Astyanax mexicanus: one gene and its partner. The protein of the gene in region 1 interacts with the protein of each later gene in a biochemical or structural test. Links are inferred from orthologs where the notes say so. Each region holds a gene or a part of one and is shown on either strand. Other genes may lie near its edges.

Region 1 (13,280 bases):
ACGGACAACATTTTTCTCAAATTCCACATAAAAATTCGTCATTTAGAGCGTTTATTTGCAGAAAATGAGAAATGGCTGAAATTACAAAAATTTAGAATTTAATATTTGGTGGAATATCATGGTTTTTAATCAGATTTCATGCATCTTTGCATATTCTCCTCCACCAGTCTTTCACACTGCTTTTGGATAACTTTATGCCACTCGTGGTGCAAAAATTCAAGCAATTCAGCTTGGTTTGATGGCTTGTGATCATCCATCTTCCTCTTGATTACATTCCAGAAGTTTTCAATTTGATAAAATTACAGAAACTCATCATTTTTAAGTGGTCTTTTATTTTTTATATTCCTATGGACCATCCCATTCTAATGTATGGAGTTTGTCCATGTAGTGTAGAACATAAGAGAGGATTTTCGTAAATTTTAAAAACATTTTTAGGAATCTCGTCCCCTGGGGGCCTTTACTCTTCTAAGAGGGCTTTACACTAGATGTTGGAAGATGTCTGTGAGAATTTGATTGTATTCAGCCAAAAGAACACTTGTATTTGTTATTGTATGAATGCCAGCTTCTGTCTAGTTTGCTAGCTCGCAGTTGTAATAATTGCAAATAGTTGTGGATAAGAATATTTACATTTGTATACATTTGTATTTATTTTAGGTTAATAATGCCAAGTGATTAGCTGCTGAGTAGGCAGGCACACCACACTACAATAATAAGAGTCAACAGGCAACTCTGGATATGAGCCTCAAACAGAGAAAATAGCATTCTGAAAACCCTGGTGCCTCTAAACCTTGGACAAGAACTTTTTCACACCATTTCAAGCAGTCTGCAGCACTGAAACTCACAGACTTATGCATGTATAACATGTACAGAATGAGACTGCTTCGTTTTCTTACCCCTTCCTACTTCGGGACGTCCCAAACACTCAGTCAACATATCTGTGCCCGTGGCTACAGTTGCCATGGCTGGCTGACAACAGTGAGAGTCCCCCTCTCAAACACAGAACTGTACGGATATGAAGTGTTCTGTTAACCATGCCAGCGGGGAACCTATCACTTAATCCAGTCACATCCCCCCTCCCCAACCCAAATCCTGTCAGACCACGGTCCCTCACCCCACCCCTCAACTTTCTGTTCCTCTTCTGTTTCCATCTCCCTCAATTTCTGTCCTGCGATGCCCTCCCCTCATCCCCCAGCTCTTGGTTTGACGCAGCTGTTGCTATGTTTTTCATGGTATCACATCGGTAACAGATCCGGACTGACCCAAAATGAGATGGAGACATTTTCCAAATGAGAGTCGAAAAATTGTATCTCTGATCTCAAAACAATACACATTTCATATAACTCAAATTAGGCCAACTAAAAACTTAAAGTCAATTTTTAAACTTGTGAGTCCTATTATTAAAGGGTTTTTGTGAAGCTCCAGAACTATGATGCTATGTATCTCAAATCATATTGGTGTAAAATCCTGTAATTATACTCTACTGCCTCAGTCTGCATATTTCCTTCACTTCAGATGCTACTTCTGTGTCTCTCAGCTAGTCAACAATTGCAAGTTTACAGCTGCCAATGAGTGGATGTTCAAGGTTCTGTTAGTATTCACAGCAGTGGAGAAAAAGTAAATGGCACACCACAAATATAAGAAGTGCCAAGGAGCAAATTATACCTATTTTTGTGTAATGCAACTTGTAAAACTCACAGACATAGAGCACCTAAACAGCACTATTGTTTAAAAAATTTCTTTGCATTTTTTATTTTTAACACAACATTGTGTATCTGGCTGTTATAATATAAATCATATAAACTGCATTTTAAACAGGAATAGTTATTATTGAGCTGCACTGTGATGTCATAATGCATGTGAGTGTGAAAGATCAAAGTGTTGTATGGAACCTTGAGTGTGTGTGTGTGTGTGTGTGTGTGTGTGGGTGTGGGTGTGGGTGCGTGTTCCTGTGTGCGTGCCCTCATGCTTCCTGGCTCAGAACTTTAGAAACGGTGTTGGTGAGGTGTTGGTTTTGTTGCTGTGGCGACGTAAATACAAATGACAGTCAGATGTAAACTGATTTATCTTTGCCATCGCAGGTATGCAGGGTGTGTGTTTGAGCACTTGTGTGTCTGTGTGTGTGTTTGAGTGTGTCCACTGACCCGAGGTCACTGCGTCTTGATGTGATGACGCGTGACAGTTAATCTCAGACTGGGTTGTGTACTGGATTGTTTATTTGTTTACTCGCCTGACTGGCGTCATTATTACTGGACTGGAATATGAGAATGTCATAACATGGCCCAGCTCTGACCTGCTGACCAGAGGGGAATTTCATAAAGCTGGATTTATCAGGAGGCCAGAAACATCAGTTAGGCTTAGTCCTTCAGTTTTAACTCATGGCTTAATGGGCAATTCAACTGATTACTTTTTACTTCTGCATAATTAAATGATTATTATGCAATTAAATGCATATATTTGCATTGGGTTTAGTCCGAACTGTATTTAAAGAAGTGGTTTTCAACTGTTGGGCCACAGCTAAGAGGGTACTTACAGCTTTTGCCGACCTGTTATGTTTTGTAAAATAAAAATTCTAATTTTATAAATGTGTAAACCCCAACAGATGTTTCATAAAAACTTTAGTTTCCTTTCAGAGTTGATTTTTTTATGAGATACTATACTAATAATATACTATAAAATACTCCTTCAAACTTGGACCATTGATTGCAGACAGGATTTGTTAATTTACACAAATAAAAATTTAATTGTTCTACGAAATTCATTCAAGACCATGTTGCAAAAATGAGTACACCCCAATGAAAGGCTAAGGATCAAAGCTAGAGTTTAGACCAAAACATTTTTATTAACACAATTTATACCCCAGGTGATTCTAAATATCGTTGCTGTCCAGTGAAAAACACTTATCTCCAAAACAGCAACTTTACAGGAGAGAGAAAAAAACCTTGTAAACTTTCAATGAAAGTCAATGTAAAAAGAGTTTTGTTTCAGGTCATTTTGAAGCATTTCTATTGGTCCGTTCATCAAGAAATTTTGGCACAGTGTAAGGGACAGTTTGTCTGTTCAAATTATGTAGTAAACCATAAATCTACAAAAATGGAGATAAGTGTTTTTCATTGGACAGCGACGATATTCTTTACACAGGTGCCCAGCATTACTTAACAAAAAAAACTTCCCTTTTCATTCTGTCAACAATGGCAATATATGGAAAAGAGAGACAAAAATACCTGAGATTTTTTTTTTTACACAAGAAAGGTTTAGCCTACAAAGCAAAGCTTTGCTTATCGATACAAGATCAGTAAAGCCTTACTTATCAGTCAGAATACTCAAGCAAATTCATAAAAAAATGAACAAAGATGGAACTGCTACCATCTCACAGAAGTTAACACCTAGACAGGAGCGTCTTCTCGTGAAAAGTGTTGCATAAATTGTCATGTAGTTTAACTGCAGTTAACTAAAGGAGTAGAAAGCTAAACTGGGGTGACTGTTTCCTGTGACACAATATGGCATACACTGCAGAGAAATGACCATAGACATGTATACACAGATGCCGCTTCGACTGACGCCATCTATTGAAGCTGGCATGTCAGCCGGCCGCCATAATGGAGGAGTCAAGCATGCGCCCTCAGTGCATTTAGCAGTACTGAGGAAGGTGTTTAATACACCTATAATCACAACTCTTTTTTTTTTTACCTCATTTTCACACGGTTTGGTTTGTTAATAATGTAGTAATGATACATAATTTCAAATATGTGCTTTTATGCTGAAATACTTACGTATTATGCTCAGACATATGGTATGGCACATTAATAATGTAAAATGTATTAAAAAATAATTTTATATTTATATACATTCACACACACATGGCTTAGGCACGTGGCTTAGGTACACCATGCAGAGAAACTATGTTCCTCCGGACCCATGGTGCAACATGGAACAACAATACAGTAGACAACATACAGTGCAAACGTGCAGCATACTCTTGCATGATTGCGAGTTTAAGTTGGGTTTTAGCAACAATTACTAAACAAAACAGTTTTTTGTTACCGAAGTGGCTGCTGAGACTAGTTGGACTTCCATCTCAAATGTCAAATTATAAATAAAATAAAAAAAACAAGCAAATTCGTTTTCATTATTCTGGCTCTTTTTGAACAGGGTAAGTGTATCATGTTATGTTCAGCATAAAAATAGTAATAAAAGTAAAGATAGAAAAAGAGAAAGACAGAGTTGTGTTAAAGTGCTAATTGGGACTGTGATTTTATCAGCTACTGCAAAAAGATAGCACTTACAGGTGTAATGAGACAGCATCAGTTATAGTCACATGACACTCCTGAGGTATTTTTAAAATGCTTTCCAGTGGACGACAGTGTGCTCATCTTTGGATTGTGTCACAAACCAGACCTCTCTGTTTGCATGTGGGTGTATATTGGCTAATGTGCCCGAATAGCCCTGGGCCTTATGACAGAGCATGGGTTTGTTGGGTGTGTGTGTGTGTGTGTGTGTGTGTGTGTGTGTTTCTGTTTACCTTCACCACAGAGTTCAGTCAGAGGTTTAGTTTATGTGTGTCTGGCCTGTCTGAACATCCTGAGCTGCTGTACGGTGATCATGGTGGCCTATTATTCCTCACAGAGATTTAGAGCTTAAGAGGCTGAACATGTAACCTAGCAGCAATGACAACTATGAATCGGACTAAACAAAACAGTGCATGTACAGTGGCATTCAAAAGTTTGGTCACCTCTGACCAGAGGCGTGCAGACATAGACATCAGGTGGTGCTAAGCACCACCAACTCTGCCCTTTATCAACCAAAGTGCCCTTTGAAATTTCGTTTTTTTATATTATTATTATTAAGATTTTACTGAGGCCGGTTTGAAATCATCTTTTGAAAACCTGAGCGATTAAAAACGAGTGAAAACAGAATGCCCTGAAATCAGCTCGCACACACCCGACCTCTCTCTTCCTCTGTCACGTGACCCCGCGCGGTGGCGCGCAAGGCACATTAGTTGCGCTGCAGCAGCAGTTCAGTTCAGCGAGTCTTCAGCACAGCACGCACGGCAACAGATAGGCTTCTTCTCCCCCGTGTCCCACCAGCCAGGTAACATACACATCAAGTAAAATCGTACCGTTTACCCTCTAAGTCCAACGTGAAATCATTTTGTTGTGCAGTAAAATGTCTCATACAGCACCAAACTACTAAGCATCTTTAGCCGACTGGTCACCAAATAAACTAGCCGCTCTAGCCCAAATCAATGATATATCACATTTTTTTTATAATGAAGTGTTCCACGTGCGCTAAAAAGTGCCCTTTTTCCCCCCTGAGCACACCACTGCCTCTGACCAAGGTAACATTTCTATTCTTAGTGAGTAGAAGATGAACTGATCTCCAAACGGTTAAAAAGTTGAAGATGAAACATTATTTTAAACATTTTAGGCAGGTTTAGTGTACAAAAGTAAAGTAGCATCATACAAAACATACAAAAAGTAGCTCTCAGACTATTTCTATCAAGGTCTTAGAGCTTAATCAATTTTTTAGGGCAATGGCTTATTTATAGTCGTTGTTAGAAAGAATCAGATTTTGCACATTTTCAACCTCTGTAAAGTCTCCTTATCCTCAAACCTAATCTCAACAATCATCGGCCATGGGCTTGCTTCTCTAAGCAGCTGCCTGACACTAAACATTATAATAATAGATGACCTCAAAGCAGGAGAATGCTGTAGGAAGGAGAAGAAAGCAAACATGTTCAGGTGTCCATTTAATAAGAACATTTACAGTCAAGTTGTTGCATGAAAGAAACCAAGAAAGAATTCTGCATTGGTGGTGACACATGCATAAAATATGGTTCCAATTGAAGAATATTAATGAGATTAACACCTCTTCCTCCGCCCTTGCCACAAAAATCCACTTTTTTTATGTTAAATTACTAAGTATTGACCAAGGAGGGTGCATTTCGCTTTTGTAAAATAATGGTATGACCAGTAATGAGCAATAGATAATAAAGCAATGCAGTTTGTGTGATCTCCACAAAAAAAACCAATGTTTCAAATACAATGTTTTTTTCTCTTTTAATAAGGGCCAATCTTGTCGCTTGTCATGTTGACAACAAACACAGTTTGTCACAAAGATTTTCAGCTCTCATTTAGAAACATTTCGGTACAAAACATGGGACTTGAAACATGAAACGTTTCGAAACTGTGTGACGTAACAAAACTTGATTTGGGACAGTCACATGTTTTTTTCAAATCATTTTATTTTTAATTTTAATCCCATTTTTTCTCCCAATTTATGCAGTGTTGATGCCCCACCACCAGGAGGGTAAAGACTCCTCCGATACATGTGAAGTCGGCCACCGCCTCTTTACAAACTGCTGCTGATGCAGCATTGCTGAGTAGCATCACAGCGCACTTGGAGGAAAGCACAGCGACTTGTTTCTGATACATCAGCTCACAGACTCCTTGTGCTGATTGACATCACCCTTTGGAGTGCTGTGGGTACACAGCGCCATCTACCCACTCAGCAAGGCCAATTGTGCTCTCTCAGGGCAGTGTATTGAAACACTGTGATTTAAATAAATCGATTTAACCCCTGAACCTGCTTAATTTTTTATAAACCTGTCCTAACCTTTAAAAAAACACTTTTATTGCATTCATTTCCAACTCTGCAGTGCCCTCACAGGTTCAACTGTGCTATAGGCGAGGATGCTGTGTCTGTGAACTTTGGTATGCAAATCAGTCAATTAATAATACCGGCCCCTGTGGACGTCCAACCATCTTCGTCTCACCACTATCAGAGGCACACTGCTCAGCTTAATCAGCGCTCCCTTCTGTCCACGCCCCTAAACCCATACATCACCCCAGTGTTTCTTAAAAAACTACCCCTCCCATTTTTCTTCTTTTTTTTATTTGAGCTGAGGGTGGAGTCAGGGGGTTTAGTTACCCTTTATAGCTGCAAAGTGTGTGCCGACCTCATATTAAACTCTATGGATTTTATATGAGTTTATATGTGTGAAAAGTCAGACTTTAATGTTTATTTATTAAGTAATTTTTATATTTCAATGATAAAATAGTTATTATAAACAGTCTATATTTAAAAAAAAACATTGTCATTTTCAAGAACGTGTCAGCTACAGTATTTTAACGCTATTTTTTAGTCAGGATTGAGAGAAAATTTTGAATAAAAAAAGGAATTTCAAAAGAGTTTGGCAGAAAATATTAACATTTTTCCTAAAGTTAGCGTCTACATAACCAGCTAACTAACTAGCTGAGGTTTCTCTTTGTTAGCCAGCTGAGCCGGCTAACTACATTTCCCACAATGCATCTGACAGTAATCAGTGACGCTGGCAGCTTTTCTCCCCGTTCTCCATCCACTACACAGCAGCAGCAGCACTCAGTCAGCAGCAGCAGCAGCACAGTGTGTGTTTATGTTCAGAGCTGCAGGGGGAGAGCGGAGCGCCGCCGCCGCCGCCGCTGCTGCACTTATTTATGACCTGCCGTCTGTGGGGAGAATTTAGAGAGCAGGGGTTTCACGAAACCGGGTCAGATACAGAAACCGGGTCAGACCCAGAAACACAGCGCGCTGCTCGCGTGTTTATTCTTCTGACATTTGAAAGAACTCCTCATACCTTGCCTTTGTTAGCAACTTAGCAACTGGGCTAGCTAGCTGTAGTATTGTGTGTGTGTGAACCGTTTTATTGAGCTAACGGCTAACAGACCATTTTTACAGTTTTTTAATTTAAAATTATTAACGGCTGTAACGGACTCCTCTCTGAGAAACGACTAGAAGAAAAGCGGTGCATACAACTAAAGATATAAAAACAAGAAACCAGCGAATTTGTAAGTATCTGGTGCTGTCAGCTTTGTTTCATTTTACGTTTTAGTTGACTTTCCAAGCTGTTTTTGTGTAAAACACATCTTTCATACACTTATTTTCTTTGGGTTAGCTGGCCAAATTCGTCAATTGAAATGCTAACCATGTTATGTTAACATTTTCCCATGAATTAACTAGCTTCTTAGCTGTAATAAAGACAATACAGTATGACAGTATTTTATTGCATAGTGATACAGCGTTAATTTGTTATCGTAATATTCTATAACCTGCACAAGCTTTTTAGTCTATAGTAACACAATATCACGATATCACCGTATTTGTAAGTATCTGGTGCTGTCAGCTTTGTTTTATTTTTTCATTTTAGTTGACTTACCAAGCTGTTTTGTGTAAAACACACCTTTTATACACTTATGTTCTTTGGGTTAATTAATAAAAAGTGTCAATTATAATGCTAACCATGTTTTTTTTATACAATTTTCCACAGAATTAGCTTTTTTGTTGCAATATGTAGCTAGTTAGCTAGTAAGAGATGGACAATACAGTTTGACAGCATTTTATTGTATCGTGATATAATTAGTTGTTGTAATTAATATTCTATAATATACACAATACGTTTTAGTCTAAACCATTTATACAAGTACTAACTCAGTAAGTTACTGTGTTTTAATGGTAAAAACTTAAATTACAGTAATAATACATAAAATATCTGCCTTGCAGTGCTTGTAAGTTCAGATATCAACTATTTAACATGTAGTTCAGCCTGTCAGTGTATTTACATTATTGACTTAAAGTACAATAAATGGACATGACAGTTATAATATACTCTATAAAAGATAATATAATATCTTTAATAACTAACATAATAAGTGACATGCATACACATACACAGTGTTGACTGCAGTAGGTGAAGAAAAAAAAGTAGCTTATATATTTCACAAACTGTAAATTACTATTTATTAAAATGTTGTTGCCCTTAAAAGTTATAATTGCTTTATTATGCTATTCTATTATCATTATATCAGTGTCGTTTAATTGTCTTAAAATGACAATAATAATGTTTATCGCAATAATTTCTAGTATGAAATATTGTCCACACTAAATTCTTATCTTGACAGGCCTACAAGTTATAATATCAGATCTATACTAGTCATATTACCAGGACCACATTATCCCTAATATATTTCTGACTAGTCCTATATTACCATTGATTTACACAGAATTGTACGTACCATTAAATACATAAGTTACCAACATCTATAGCTACTTTTTTTAAGAGTAGAAATTGGAGTTGTATCTCAGCTGCAATGCTGCCTAGTACAAAATCCAGGACTACGTCCGTAAATATATTCCGACTGATACAAATGCTAATGCTAATGAGCATTTAGCTATTGACTGTAATATATATTATACATAATCAAAATTCCATTAAAAATTTGTGCTCCTGGTAATGCAATTAGACTGGTTTTATGGATCTGGTAAAGAAAATCACAGCTATCATCTTACTCTTTGATTAGTTTGGTCAAGCTGGTCATAGTGGTGGATTAGTTTGGTGGACAAACTTCTCATGGTGGTCAACCAGCTCAGTTATACTCAGTGAGTTTGTGTGGTCAAGGTGGCCATGATTGTATGTCAGCAAAACCAGTCATCATCAGCACAATTCAGTAGAAACTTTAGATTTGTTTTATTTTAATTTATTTGACTTTTTAGAAATGATACCCTCAAGACAAGTTCTAGGGTAGTGTTTTTAATAGTTAATGGCTTAAATGGTTCATTCCATTTGCAGCAGTATACAGCTTTTGCGTAGCAACCTGTTGGACCTGTCCTAAATGTAAATGATAATGTTTAAGTACAGCTTTAGATGACTGGATAAAGTGGTTATGTATTTAACAGTGCAGTTTGGATTGGCTTCTGACTATTTGCATTGCCCTCTGGACTGTTGTGTCGGGCTATTGTTCTGCTGAATTTCACCCCCCCACCCTGGGGTGATTTGCATAGTCAGATAGCGTCCTCCAGGCTCAGCATCTGGCTGGCCGAATGGGGCTTTTGTTCCGTGTTGACGTGCTGCTTTGAATCACTTTTGTTGACATCCTTAACCCCCCCTTTCCCTCAGGCCTTATGGACGACCAGGAGTCCGCTTTGTGTGGAGCTCTGCTTAAATTATTATTCTTCAGCTCTGGTTGCCAATCATTGATGTGTATGTACTGTTGGTTTCTGACATTGGTGAGCTTGTTCGCTTGCTCGATTTCTTTGGACATTATTATACTTTCTGCTTTGTGAAAACAAGCTAAAATATTTCATGCTGCTTTTTTGTAGCTTTACCAACTAATTATTATATATATATATCTTTTTTTTTGTACTAAAATCTAAAGAAGTTCATCACGTCAGTTAAACTGTATGGTTCAGAAAAAAATGTAACTTGTGGGCCTATTTTTTTTTTTAACGACAACAAAAATGGAAAAATCTATTCAAAATTTAGAATGAATTAAAATCTAAATCTCTCATATCTGAAACACACTTTTAGATTGTTCATCTGTGGCACATTTATACAAAATTACATCGTCTCAGACCAGCCAGAACACGCATAGAGATTTTTTTTTTCCTCCTCATCATTTTAAATTACGATGTTGGGCACGGATGGGTTAAAATGTTTAACGACCCATGTTGAAACACCTTTTTGTGCAGCCTGGACATTGATGGAGCTCCTTTTCCTGGTCCAGCTGAGTCTGCGGAGTGCATTGGCTGGAGGAAAAGGGTGTGGAACATGCCTTTCTAATGCAATCAAATAAACACGGGTCCTTGAATGCTGGCGCCCAGCCAGTGGTGTCACTTTCCACTCTGAAATATAGATAAGAGACCTGACTTACTGCGGGGAAACTCAGCACGGGCCGCTCCGAAACTGGTGTCGTCATCCTGATTCACTCGAAACCCAAAGCCAGTTTGCTCAAATTGTTCAAAAATGGAATGGAATGGGAGAAGAGAGTAGCATAAATATTTTACTGGAACTTAAGATCTTAGACCTTCATAGCTGGCCTTTCGTTGTTTATTTTTTTCTGTCGTTTTAGTCTGGCGTCAGATATCTATCATATGAAGCAGAGTATCCTGTCAAACCTGGTCTGCAGACAGTCTTATGTAAGAGATTTAGAAATGTGTATGTCATAACATCTAGTCATAGGGGTTAATTGATGAGAATCTAAAAAGTTATTTTAATTACTTACATTTACATTTTTTAAACATTGTAAGCAGTAATGAAAAGCATGGGTGACTGATGTTGGGAGCAGCAAGGGTCAGGGGATTTTCTTGACCTCAATTTAGGGTTATTAGCTGAAAAACTGGCAGCTGCCTAACTTAAAGCATTATGGGGTGGCAGCACTTACCGTGTTTGTTTCATGTTTAGCTGCTCTAGGCAGTAGATTGCACTCTAGTTCATAGATCGGATCAGCTCAGTGTCAGCATTGGCGTGGAAAGGTGATATCTCCTCTAAATCCAGCTGGACCTGCAGATCAGATAGCTGTGAGGACGTATAATGGCTTGATAAAAAAGACCGGAAGGGAAGACTCTTCTGCCACAGCTCTATAAAGGTTTTAGGCATCTAATCACATGTATTATAAAAAGAATTCTCTCAACAAAAATAGTTTAATTTAAAGTAGTTATCAAGAATACTTTTAATCTAATATTAGAGCTAATCAACACTTACTGCCCAAATAAAGAGTCCTTGAGACCATGATAATGTATTCAATTCGAGCAGCCTGAGGATGAATCAGTCATAACACGGTCATAACTTTATTTCCTCTGCTGATACAGCTCTGTCACACACTTTTTTTTTTGCCCTGTAACATCACTCACTTTCTCATGCTACGCCACCGTTGGAGAAGCCAAAACGGAAAAGATTTGCAAGTGTGTTGCCCACCTTTTCTTTAATTCAAAGAAAAGGTTATGCTGGTTAAATGGATACCGTGTGAAGAAACCTGGTACTTTTGAGGGGGAATGGTGCCAGATAGCTCCAGGATGTACATTTGTCATGAGAAACAGCTGGCAAGCAGCATTGTTTTGATGCATCACACTTGCGTGATGGAAATAATCAGGTGTTGTATAGTTGTATAAACTTATGTTGAACTTGCAAGACAAATTCTGTTGTATAAATATTACTATAGTCAGTCATATATGATAATAGTCAGTGAAACCAGCAGAATAGTCTCCTTATTTACCAACTTGTTGAGGATATATATAGTTTATAGTTGTTATTAGGATTGTTCCATTGTTAAAATATGTAATGTAAGGGTTGTTGGCATATTTTCATCATAAGCAAATTAAAATTTGATGGTTTTGTTTCAGATGTTTCATATTATAGAGAAGAAAATCTGAATATTTTTAATCAGTTTTAGCAATTTTACTGGACATGCTCTTTTAAAGCTGCAGCTTAGTGTAGTGTTTGCTTCATCTATTCCCCATCACTATTTATTTTCAGGAAGGAATCTGCAGTGTTGCATCATCCCAGATATTTTTTCCAATGTGGCTATCCTGCAAGTTTGGTCTGCCTGTGCGTGGTGAAGTTTAGGGGATTATGATTGTAGTGGAAAGTGGGTCAGACAGTGGGGACATGAGCGGGTGGTGGTTTAGTACTATATGTAGCAGAAAAAATTGTGAGCTGATGTCCAATATTTTCTAAAGAATTTGGAATTCACTGAATTATTCTTTATCTTCTTCTGGTTTGAGTTTCCTGTTGTGGACAGGCAAGGGTTTAATAGCATTGTAGAAGACATATTGCAGGAGGACCTCTGGAGAAACTTGGGGTTAAGTGCTTTACACAAGGTCACAGCAGCAACAAGCAAAGTAGGGCTGGAGGGCAGTGGAACCCACAGTAGCAAGTGCCAAAATTTGGGGATTTTGAGGGCTCATGTGAGATTACAACAGCAGGTAACATCAGAAGGTCAATTAGGTGAAGCAACTTTAACCAACCTTTTTCTGGAGCCTCTGTCAAAGTTTAAAGGTAGTTGTACTTTGGTTGATCCTGCTTCTCTGTGATGCTGCAGTAACGCTTTGTTTCAGTCACAGTGCAGATAAAACAGAAGACCTCTTCCTACCATTTACCAGTCTCCTGGTCTGAGTTCCTGTTCTGCCATGCAGTATTCAAACCAGCGACCCAGTCATCAGTGGTATAACAATCGTGCTCCACTTATACCAGCCAAAATGTGCGTTATGGAGTACAGCTGTCAGAACTCCCCAGAACCCCCGCTGTTGATACGGATGCAGCCATATTTTACGTTAGCTTTTTAGCAGCTTTAAGGACTGCAGCTTTTCCGCTTCTCTCAGCTTATTTTGTTTTATTGCCTTTTTCTGTAAACAGCACTGCTTCCTGTATATTGTTTTATTCTAATGGCTTTCTGGCAGGTCAGGCTGTCCGTTGTGGTTTTCCTGGTGTTATCAGTGTCTGGGGGGGAACTGCGGATTAGACAATGATAGAT
Region 2 (12,409 bases), on another chromosome or scaffold:
AACAACCTAGGCAGAGGTCAGCAGACGTTTATTGCTATCTTGGCAATAAATTGTGAACACAGGCATCTGCCCAGTGTGCATACACCCCTGCTTGAAATGGAAGGGTTGAACACATCCAGATTCTTTTCTTTTTTTAACAAAATACAGAAAGTATAGTAAGAAATGTTTCTCATTTCTTTGAAGCGAAGCAATATGAAACCTTTCGAATTATAACTCAATTGTCATTAGCAATTACACAGTATTGTGGTTAAAAGTACAGTCATGCATTCTCCAGTGACCTCATTGGGCATACATATGTATTTTAGGATGCTGTAAAAAAATCATAATTACTTCTGTGAATAATTAAATACACCAATTGAATGTATTACAAATAAAATTATGCAAAACGTTTACTCAAGTATACTCACCATTGTCTATGTTCTTAGTTTGGGTAACAAAGCAGGAAACAGGACTTTATTAGCCGGAGTAAAAAAGAGAGTACCCTGTTAAGAAATGTTATTAGAGCTCTCATTCTCATCCCTGGATTAGTAGTGAGGAACACTGGATTACAGGGTCCCTGCTGGTAGGTCAAAGAGCCTGGCTAGCACCCCCCACCCCCTCCACTTCCAGTTTAAAACAGACGTTGCCCTTGTGTGTTGCTCTAAAAATCATCCTCCCCAAATCTTAACCTTCACCTCATGAATGAAACTGCAACGCTGATCTCACATCAAGGTTAAAGGGCAGCTATTGTCAATTACACATACCCCCCCCCCCCCCCCCCCCCCCCCCCACATCCCGTCCACATCCCAAACAAGTACCACTGGTGTTGGTTAGCCCCCATCAATGATTCACTAGAGATAATGAAAGAGACTGTTCAGTAATCAAAGGTCACAGGACTGAGCTGTAACTGCCCACTGATTCCCAGGGATTTAACTCAAGGCTATATCCTGTCCGAACCTGAACAAAAGAACACAAGATATCAGGAGGAGCTTTTCTGAAATCCTATTGTGCTGATAAGAAGGTTCCTCTGGCTAGGTGAAGGCTGGAATGAGGATTGAATGTGACACTACATCAATGCAATGGGGTGACTTATATGTGGAGGAGACTGGTTCTTAACATGCCTTCAAAATAAATCCTTTAAAAGATTAAAAGGAGCTAAGGAAAGTAGCCTGAACAGAAGCTAGTGTGCTTGTTAGCATTTAGCAACACTTTCAGAATGCTACCTTATTCTAACATTAGTTCACAGATTAAAACACTGGGAGCATGGAATACACCTGTTTCTATCTACATTAATTACCTATATTAGCTTTGCTAACGCTAACAGTGGTTAAACTAGAGGTTTGTGTTGTTGTCCAACACAACAATCACTTACTTCAGTCACACGGCTTTTAATGTCAAACACAGTATTCTGACATGCCACTACTGCCCTCTATGTGTTGGAACAGAAAACTGGTCATTTAAAATAGTCAAAATAAATATACAATAATAATAATATAATATAATACTCATGCTCTAGCTTGCAATATAATTGGCATACAGTGTTTTTTGCAGAAACTGTGGTGGTTTAAAGGCTTTTCTTGCATGTTATTTAAAGAATTTATGTAGAGAATCCAAACTTTTTTTATTTACTATTTGATTGAATAAAAACAAAGCAAGAAAAGGAAAAAAAACAAGACAGCAGTAAGTGATAATTTACATAAGACAAATTAGGCCTATCTGACTTCTACAAATGGTGTAATTGAACAGCAGGTACGCTAACAACAAAATATATTAGTAATGTTTTTGTTAGCTACATGTCTGGTAGTCAATGCTAGTAACGAACGAGAACAGTTAGTGTAAGCTTTTTGGGCATTTTTGTCTTTACAGCAACTCATCCTATTTTCTCTACTGAAAAGGACACCATTTGGAACACTCTCTGATAGAGTTGGCATAGAAGGCACTTTATAGCATCACCATTTACCATTTAGCCATACACAGGCACTCATTAAGGTAAATGATCAACATCATTTATTTTAAGAAGGGGCACTCTATTTTTGCCATTATAAAAAGCACTTATAGGGTTTGGATGCACTAGAGCAAGGGCAGCTGCCTCCTTGACCCCTACTGTGTTTGCCAATGAGAATGGAGTTTTCTAGAAAATCTTACTTAAGACACGATTAGGTTGTATTAATGATTACATTTCAGGCTTTGGCCATAGTACTCTATTAGGTTTTCATAATGGAAAGAATTGTGTGTGCTCAAGAAACCAAGAAACACACTGTGGATTCTTAATAAAAAGGAAAGTTTTATAGGCCTACATCCATCAAAAATCCATAGTGCCCTTTTTGTACTAAAGCATATACAGCTCTGGAAAAAAATTAAGAGACCACTTCAGTTTCTGAATCAGTTTCTATGATTTTGCTATTTATTGGTAAATGTTTGAGTAAAATGAACATTGTTGTTTTATTCTATAAACTACAGACAACATTTCTCCCAAATATTGTCATGTAGAGCATTTATTTACAGAAAATAAGGAATGGCTGAAATAACAAAAAAGATGCAGAGCTCAAGACTTTTAGACCTCAAATATTGCAAAGAAAACAAATTCATATTTACAAAGATGTAAGAGTTCAGAAATCAATATTTGGTGGAATAACCCTGGTTATTAATCACAATTCTTTATGCATCTTGGCATATTCTCCTCCACCAGTCTTACATACTGCTTTTGGATAACTTTATGCCACTCCTGGTGCAAAGATTTAGGCTGTTCATCATGGTTTGATGGCTTGTGATTATTCATCTTCCTCTTGATTATGTTCCAGAGGTTTTTAATTTGGTAAAAAATCAAAGGAACATATAATTTTTAAGTGGTCTTTTTTTTCCCCAGAACTGTATTTATAGAAGGCATTTATCCCTTCATAACAAATATAGCACACTAAGATTAGTCCTTTAAAACCAACCAGCCCAATACTAATCAAATAGAATTTTCTATTTGTTAAATCCTCATTGTGAAATTCCAGACGGGTCCAAATAGTTCAACAACTGTGCCTTAGCCATTTAGCCTGTGTTCACAGCGATGCTTCCCCCTCCTGAATGCAGATGCATGGTGAATCTTCAGTTCCTTTGACACACAGATTTGGAGAGGATCTCGAGATAGTGAGGAGGAGAGAATGGAGAGATGGAGAGAATAGCCCCCCATGGCTCACCCTGTCTGTCAGAGCGAGAGGGGGAGGAAGCTGGCAAGACTCTTACAGAAAGACAAATAATGCCTATAGACTCTGTCCTCTTCTTGTGGCTTTCATTCCGGTGCTTTCTCTCAATTGCACCCCTGCATTCTCTCCTACTCTCTTCATGTTTTTGGGCTGCTTTCATTCATATCAGCTACAACACTAATAGCTGAAACTCAGCAGTGGAAGACAACTGAATTAGAAAGCTGCCCAGCAAGATACCTAACTACAACACCAAGGTTTGTAACAGTCCAGTGCTCACAGTATCCAAGGAACTGAATGAGCTAACAAATTAATATTATTCTAGATCCCCATATGTAGTTATTTAGCCTGCAGTGGTTCTACATACTACTGGACAATATGGTAAAAAAACTATATATCCAAATATTTAAAGAGATTTTTTGTTGCAGAATGTATCAAAATGTTTTGACACGCAGACAAAATGCAGATGAAAAACTGGCAAATTCTTAAAAACTACTATTTAAAAACTCATATTCATAATAAAGTTAATTTTATTTAGTTTCTGAATGATTCAGGACTAATTTAGGACATACAATTATTGAGGACTAATTGTGCTCTTTGATAAAAGTGTGTATTTAAGCACTGAAAATATTCTTGATATGCTTATAAAGCAGATTGTTGGAAGTATATGAAGTTCATATTATTATATATAGTATATACTATATTTATATGATAGTATATGGATATATATAATTTAACTTTCTCAATATTAGATTTGAGTGCAGACAGACAGTAATACCCCCAGACAAGGTGCCAGTCCATCACAGGGCACCACACACAAACATTCACTCACACACTTTGATCTAGAGGCACCTATCATGTATGTGTTTGGGAGGTGGAAGTAACCTGGATTACCTGGAGGAAATACACTGAACACCTCACAGACAGTGATATGAATGAGGATTGTTCCCACAATCCCAGGCCACAGGATATGTGCAACACACAAACACACACACACACACACACACACACAAACACACACATAATTCAATATAGCATACTTAACAATAATGCAAAAATATATATAGACCTTAATAGTGCTGTTACAAATCTAATGTTTACAAATATAATTACTGCTTCTCAATAAATGAATAATAATTTACACTTTTATAGGTTTGTGTGCCTGCCTTCGTGTAGTCATGTATTTATATTCTGGCAATACAAAGTAACTATTAATATTTTAGTCAAGACCAAAACATGTTGAGCAGTAAAGTCCAGATCAAGCCTGAGGCTGGGAGAGAACACAACAAGACCAAATTAGTTTTTTTCTTCTTTTTTTTAATAATAAATAAATAGAATAATTTGTAACTCATTGTACATTCATCATAATTTATTGTGCATGAAATGAATAAATACATCTCATATATCTTCTAAAATATAACATTAAATAAATCTGATACCTTAGAGCTACGTTAGGAGAGCTACGTTAGGAGAGTAAGAGCTCTTTAAAGACACCCCTAACAAACTAACTACTTCCAACCTCATTTTCTTCTTCCCCTCCTTTACTCCTCTATCCCATTATTTCCCTTTGACCTCCTTTAGGCCCTATCTAAAGATGTTTTTATCTTTAACTTCTATTACTTTTTGTACTTCACTAATGTAAGTAACGTTAGACAAAAGTATCTGCCAAATGTAATATAATGTAATGTAATTAGACAGAAGCAGACTCGGCTGATCTTAACAGCCCTTCACCATGAGTCCAAAAAAGGACGAAACTGCCTGCATGTTTATGGTCTTGAGACTGGTTTCGAGACCAAGCCAAGACTTAGCATTATAATACTAGTATTCTACTCTTTATTCCTCTGTTTTGTTGGGGAGTCCCTTTCATCACTGAAGTTATGACTACACACTGTGCTGAGTAATGCTGCTGACAAGATGTAGATCTGCATAAAAGATTTGTATTGGCTTTTTTTTTGTTTATTTGTTTTGTCTCTTATGGCCATAAAACCTTATTTTAGCTGATTCATTCTGATGTCTTCTGACAAACTCCATATGCACATATCTATCCACTCTTTCATACAGTCCAGTTGTATGCATATGTTTTATGTCATTGCCTAGTGTACCTTCACTTCTGTCTCAGTCACTGAACTCTGCAGCTCATTCAAAGTGAGTGTTGGTTCTTTCAAAGGTTCTCCCTTTTTGCTCTGATAGATGGATAGTGATGCAAAAGTATAAAAACTATATTAGAAAATTCTATTAATTGGATCTTATGCCTCTACCAGCAATAACAGTGAAGTAAATAATGCAGTCAACAAATTAAAAAAACAACAATTTTATATGTACATATTCTGCACATATACAGCATATAACACTGAGATTTGTTTAGACACTGACTGGGTGTAGTGATAGATCTTCTATTACCTCACAGTTCATGCAGCAGTGCTTACATTGTAGCCTTTTCCTACCTTGTGATTTTTTTATAACCTTATCTTTTTCCCATGGATTTTTTTCTGAATTCTCTCACAGTTTTTCTTCATATTCACAGTCTGATGAGCAGTATTTGTGGGTTAACCCCAACTCCAATGTTTTATTTAAAAAGGTGTGTTTTTGTTAAAAATGATTTACAGATAGAGTAGATAGAGTAGATACATTAGCAGCTTTGCCCTCATTAGAACAATCTGTGCGAATGAAGCATTATAAATGAAGCATTATAAATGAATGTATAAATGTATATGAATGTACTTGAAGATGACATCACCCTGTCATTGCTATGATTACTGTTTCACATGCTGGTTCACTTTGACACAGAGGTCTTTCTGACATCACATGATCGGCTCTGACCACTTCCTATGTGAAATGTTTTGCTTTGGATGGTTTGGATGATTTTAATTGCTCTGGCATCTCTTGGCCGGATCTCTTATTTTCTAACACCAGGAGGGCTTCCTCTCCTCTCTCTCTCTCTCTCTCTCTCTCTCTCTCTCTCTCTCTCTCTCTCTCTCTCTCTCTCTCTCTCACATCTCTCTATCTGTCTCTCTCGCTCTCCCTCATTACAGTTCTTATTATTAGCAAAGCAATCTAATTCTAAAGCAATGATATTATAATTTGTATTTTTATATATATTCTATATACATATTATGCATGAAAGATTTATATTGGCTATTTTTTGTTTGTTTGTTTTGTCTTTTATGGCCACAAAATCTTATTTTATCTGATTCATGCTGATGCTTACTGACAAACTCCATATGCACTTTGTTTTTTTTTCTAGCCAGCCTTTCATACAGTCTGGTTGTATGCATATATGCATTTAGAACAAATAATTACTCATTAATGTCATTTAATATATTAATAATAAATGTATGAATGTGATTTTTATGAGAAATAAGAAGATACTTATTTAAATGAGAGCTGACCTGAAAACACACCTGTTAAATGAGAATGGCATGGTGTGATCAGTACTCATTCTCACAGTCATATACTGCCCTCTACTGTCACACAGTGATATTACCGATTCTGATATTACTGATATCACACTTACTATTTGGGATTTTAATCCCAATACTTACTTTACAGGTGGCTGTTTTTAAACAGCAGTGTGAAATGAAATTTTTAGCTTTTTCCAATCAGTTAAATTTTGTAGGTGTATATTGTATAAATAATAAATAATTGTGGGTAAATAGAACAACATAACTGCTGTAAATATATATATATATATATATATATATATATATATAGAGAGAGAGAGAGAGAGAGAGAGAGAGAGAGGTTTTTTTTTCTAATTTTTGTTTTTCCCATTTTCTCCCCAATTAACAAAGCCAATTATCCAACCTACTCATTAAGACTCCCCCTATCACTAGTGAGGCAACACCAGGAGGATGAAGACTAGCACATGCCTCCTCCGATACATGTGAAGCCAATCACTGCCTCTTTTGAATTTGCCATGTAGTCAGCGAGCTCGGAAGTAAGCGCAACGACTCGGATCTGATACGTCAGCTCACACATGCCTTTTACTCACCCAGAGATGTGATCTCTCAGGGCTCCGGCAGCTGATGTCAAGCTACATGAACAGGATTATATCCGGCAATCTCCTGATCATAGTGGCAGCGCTTAGCCTGCTGGACCACTCTGACCCCCCTGCAAATATTATTTTATTGGAAATGACAGAATATTTGTTTGTTTTATTGGACAACGAACATGTACAGTATGTATATACCTGCACTAAACTTTTTTTTTTTTTTTTTAACCTTTTTCAGTTTTTCTGTACCTTAAGCCTCATGTGATTGTGGCCAGAGTGGTAGTGAGGTCAAAACGGGCAAAATCACCACTGGGGGCAGAACTGAGCAGTACACGAACACCATCGATATCTCACTTTAAAAGTTACCTACATGGTGACGCTCATAAACCCGAGCAGCCAGTCTGCAGTGCTGTGACTGAGCGGAGGAGCTGGAGATACATTAGAAACGTGTCAGAGATAAAGGACTGCTGAAGCTCTGTCTCCTGAGCTGAGTGAGGAGAGAGAGCGAGCTGGTTTCCGTGTTGAAGAGGTTCAGATGTAGCTAAAGGGGAAATAACTTCAAACTGAGGAAGTGTCTCAATATGGGAAAAACCCACACTCACACACTTAAACACACACACACTCTGCCATCATAAACTCGCTCCTCGGTGAATGTGTGTGTGGCTTTAGTCCGCGTATTGTTAAAGAAGCTGGTTTTAATTAGAGGTTGAGGGAGTCCTGAGGTCCAGTATGAGCAGCAGCGCTGTAACAGCTGATACCTTCATCAGGAAGCTCAGTCGCTCCACTCTCAGGACCCTCTCAGACTTCCTGGACCCTCAGGACGCGTGGAGAACTGTTCTGATGGACATACAGAAACCGACAGGAGAACCTAGATACACTCAGCTGCACCTCAGGTATTACTGGAGTCTTCAACATTTATTAGTTTGTATAAATAAATGTCGGTCTGTGTATTTATTTCAGTTGATTTGTTACTTTAGTTACTAATTCAGTTTAAAATGTAAAACTCATATTATATAGCTGGATTACGCACAGAGTGATCTATTTTAAGCGTTTATTATTTTATTGTTGATGATTGTGGCCTACAGCCAATGAAAACTGTATCAGAAAATCAGAAACTTGTGCACTTTTGGCAGTGTGGGTAGTGTGCCAAGTCCTGCTGGAAAATGAAATCCTCATATCCATAAACGTTGATATAACACAGTGGACCAGAGTCTGAAAAAATAGTGGAGAACTGCTTGATGTCTAGTGTGAAGTTTGGAGAGTCATGTCATCTGCTGGTGTTGATCCACTGTGTTTTATCAATTCCAAAGTCAGTGCAGTGTTTTCCCAGAAAATCTTACAACACTTCATGCTGTATATATGTTTGTATGTCTGTAAGGAATCATGTAGCAAACTTAAAAAAAAATGTTTAGAGGGCTCTTTTCTCTGGTGCTGTTAACTTTTGGTTTCCGAGGCTGGTAACTCTGATGAACTTATCCTGTGCAACAGAAGTAACCCTTGCTTTTCCTTTCGTGGTCTGGTTCTGATGAGAGCCAGTTTCATCATATCGTTTTTGATAGTGTTTGTGACTGCGCTTACCCAACGTTGATTCAACATCATACGTTTAACCTTTAATAAACAATAGCTCAAAAAAATCCTATGGTTAACAAAGTGTTAACAATAAATTTACATCACTGTAGTAAAGCTGAGTATAACGAAAGTTACCCACCACTACCAATCTGATTCAACATCTGATCTCAAAAACGCTAAAACAGTAAAACTATTAGAACATGAACATGATGTTAAATTAAAAAGCAGTTCCTGCAAATAGAAGTAAAACACTTTTTCTTTCCTCCATCCAACCGTTTTTAGAAATTATATATGGTGATGAAATGTAAAATGCTGATTCAGAAGGCAGAAGGTTGAGGACATTATGTTGATTCAACGCTAAAATTTCAACGTTAGCACAACCATTGAACATTAAATGTTGATTCAACGTTAAAATTTCAACATTTGCAGAACCAATTAAAATTAAATATTGATTCAACGTTGTTTTCAGCGTTAAAACAACATAAATTACTTTTAAAAAAAGTATTTTTTGTTACTTAGTTAAATAGTTTTTGTCATATGGATCAAAACATTACTCAAATAGGGTTGTTCACTGTATACTAGGGGTGTCATGATTCTCTAAATCCTCGATTCGATTTTCTTTTTTTTACAGCAGAGAGGCCTATGCCAGTTTTAGATTAGTCAGTCATTGGTTTGATTCATCAAATTTACAATATCTTATTTCAAAAGGTGGGCTTGATGTAAGTGATGCAAAGTGATACAAGTGTTCTGTAATACACCACATTAGGCACTAATGGTCAAATTTAAATAATTTAATTAAGATATATATGGAATGCCATCTAGTGGCTTTTTTTGGTAGCAGCAGTGAGCGCTATAAAACAGCAACATAACAAAATAAATAATAAAAAAATACAAGAACAGTCATGTACAAAATAATAGAACAATTAGAGCCTTAACAAACTGAACTCTATCCTACTATAACAGTTAAACATGAAAAATAAGATATTTAGACTTTTTTGTTCCCTGAGAATGAAATTTTTTTTTTAACTGAGATAGAAGAGAATGTCTCTGGAGAAAGGGCTGCTCTTTGAGCAGTCACAATGTCCACAGCTGCAGTGTGCAGCGCTATTTGTGTAGCACGCGCGCATGCTTGCGTAGCTCAGAGGGAGGGATCGTCGATCATCTTTTTGACTTCGAGGCTCGAGACCATGACATAATTTCGATCGATTTCGATTCGACTGTATACCAACTCTACCTCTTCACAACTTTACAACTGATGCTCGCAAGCACATTAAGAGGGCAATCAATTCAAGTAATTAGCTCTTGACATTATGTATTTATATATATATATATGTCTAATCCATTCAGTTTTTCCTGCCATGTGAATCAGTTTCAGCTTTGAGATTAACAAAACTCTCTTTTATTAATAGGAGGTTTGAAAGGCTGTTGGCTCAGGGTAAAAGTCCCACAGTAGAGCTGTTGTATGACTGGGGGACCACAAACAGCACAGTTGGAGAACTGGTTGATATTCTTGTCAGAAACAAGCTGTTTGCTCCTGCTAGAGTCCTTCTGCCAGGTAAGAGATTTATAAATTAAATAACTGCTTAACAACAGTGGTGGTGATCAGATATTTATTATTGCTATTTTGTTTTGTTGTTGAGAATAAATTACATATCTTTTTCAAGAAACATACTTTAATAATTACGTTTTATTTTCTCCAGATTGTTACATCAAGCAAGTGTAGTTTAGTTTCCATTAAAATGTGTATTCTCTGTCAATGAGGTGAACTTGATCAGAAAATGATCAGAACATTTCACTTTAATCAGGATGCTCAAACGCTTGCTTATAACTGTATATGAAAGATGGAGAATCAGTGTTGTAGAATTGCTGTCATATTATAAGTTGGATAAAATAATATTGTGTCTCTGATATAAGATATAGCTGCAACACCTGCTCCAACACCTGTCACAAATCAGAGGGCAGAGAGAGATCCTCCCATTCAGTACCACCGGGAGGAGACTAAGCTCCTCAGACTCGCAGCAGAAGAAGCACATCACACCCCACCTGACAGCACCACACAACCAGAGGAGAACCAGGAGCCTGATGAAGAAGGTGTGACTATGTTTTTTATGTATATTGCTTTGTCCTTTTAATCAACACTTGACCTTGCCTCCCAATACAAAAAAGCAAAATCCATTTTACACTAATAAATGTGATGAGATCGACCAAATACCTGTTTAAATGTCAGTTCGCAATAAAATATCACATTATAAACCTAACATTTACTTTAAACCTACATCCAACAGTTAATAAACTGTTGGGTGAAATTTCAGCATTGTTTTGATTAGGAATGGGTTTAGGACTTGAATGAAAGTTAGAATTACTGCTGATATTCAACTATTTTTTTATATATGTATATATAAAATCCTGATTATTTTTTAATAATCTTGTTTTACTGAATTCAGGATTCTACACTTTTACATATCAAGAGCTGACGGTGATCACAGAAAGCTGGGATGAAAGGCCAGTTTCGGATGGAGGCAGGAGACTCGGGGAGGGAGGCTTTGGAGTTGTGTTCAAAGGCATCCTCAGCACCACACCTGTAGCAGTGAAGAAACTCAATTTAGTAAGTATTTGAATGCTAGATATACAGTTATGGGCTATAAAAAGCCTGAGCAAAATAAGCAGCAGCTGATTTTTTTGTAAGTTGTAGCCATATACACTAACATGTCAAAAGTCACGGGAGTGGTAGCACTCATGGCAGTTTAAAATGTATTATCATGTTGCATCCAAGGTTGATAGTGAGTGCCAGATGGATGGATGGGATACTTCATTTTAGAATTTGTGCAGGCATTTAATACTTTTCGATCCACAGTGTAACATATGTACCAGAAATACATCAGATCACATTATCACCCACAGTGGACAGCACAGTCGTTGGTGATGATTGTGACCTGCAACATCAGGTTTTCCAGAATTGTCAATGTAACAGACAAGTGACTCAATGTACAAAACACCACACACAGAGCACATCACACAGAACATGATAGTACTAGCATATATTATATGACGGCCCTCCAGGACCATTCTTTTCTTACGTTAAGATGTACTATGTACTAATCAGATTTTATTTTATCATTGTATCATTGTAAGTCAGATAGTATTCCTCATTATATGTGTGTGAATGTAAATATCTCAATGAATTTTTTAACAGATATATTTAAGTTGAAAATCTAAATTATATGCAGCAATGAGATAATCATTTCTGCTCTTCTTTCAGGAAGATGAATTAGAGCTGAAAGCTCAGTTCAAACAAGAGATTCAGACACTGAAGAGGTAAAGTACTAGCAGCAGAAACTTTACTGCATCTGTTTAATTGTTATTATTATATGTTAATTTGTATTTTTCACACATTTTCTTTTAGGTTAAAACATGTAAATCTGGTGAATATGGTGGGTTATTCCAGTGACGGCCAGCACCCATGTTTAGTCTATGCTTACATGTCAAATGGTTCATTGCTGGATCGACTAGCATGTGAGGTGAGTAAAGTCTGCAAATGTTGCACTTACACACTTACAAAAAAAAAAGATTCTGCCTGGCACTGAAAGATCAGAAAGGAACAGTAGTAGCTACACATCTCTAAGTTAGTATTCTCTTTTGTCTGTGAAAAAGCAAGAAGATCAAGTGCGTTGGAGTTTACTTT

What was found.
Region 2: of the proteins of peli1b (region 1) and irak4, one has a biochemical effect on the other in vitro, tested with the Homo sapiens proteins (4 studies listed by BioGRID and IntAct). The link is inferred for Astyanax mexicanus from reciprocal best matches to the Homo sapiens genes PELI1 and IRAK4.

Annotation. Positions count from the first base shown.
Region 1 is NC_064421.1:30,823,216-30,836,495, reverse strand, and holds the start of peli1b (E3 ubiquitin-protein ligase pellino homolog 1b), read left to right. Parts: upstream 1-7,361; 5' UTR 7,362-7,823; intron 7,824-13,280. UniProt on the Homo sapiens protein: E3 ubiquitin ligase catalyzing the covalent attachment of ubiquitin moieties onto substrate proteins. Involved in the TLR and IL-1 signaling pathways via interaction with the complex containing IRAK kinases and TRAF6.
Region 2 is NC_064409.1:52,322,007-52,334,415, forward strand, and holds the start of irak4 (interleukin-1 receptor-associated kinase 4), read left to right. Parts: upstream 1-7,487; 5' UTR 7,488-7,887; coding exon 7,888-8,051; intron 8,052-10,136; coding exon 10,137-10,282; intron 10,283-10,641; coding exon 10,642-10,818; intron 10,819-11,171; coding exon 11,172-11,332; intron 11,333-11,986; coding exon 11,987-12,042; intron 12,043-12,130; coding exon 12,131-12,245; intron 12,246-12,409.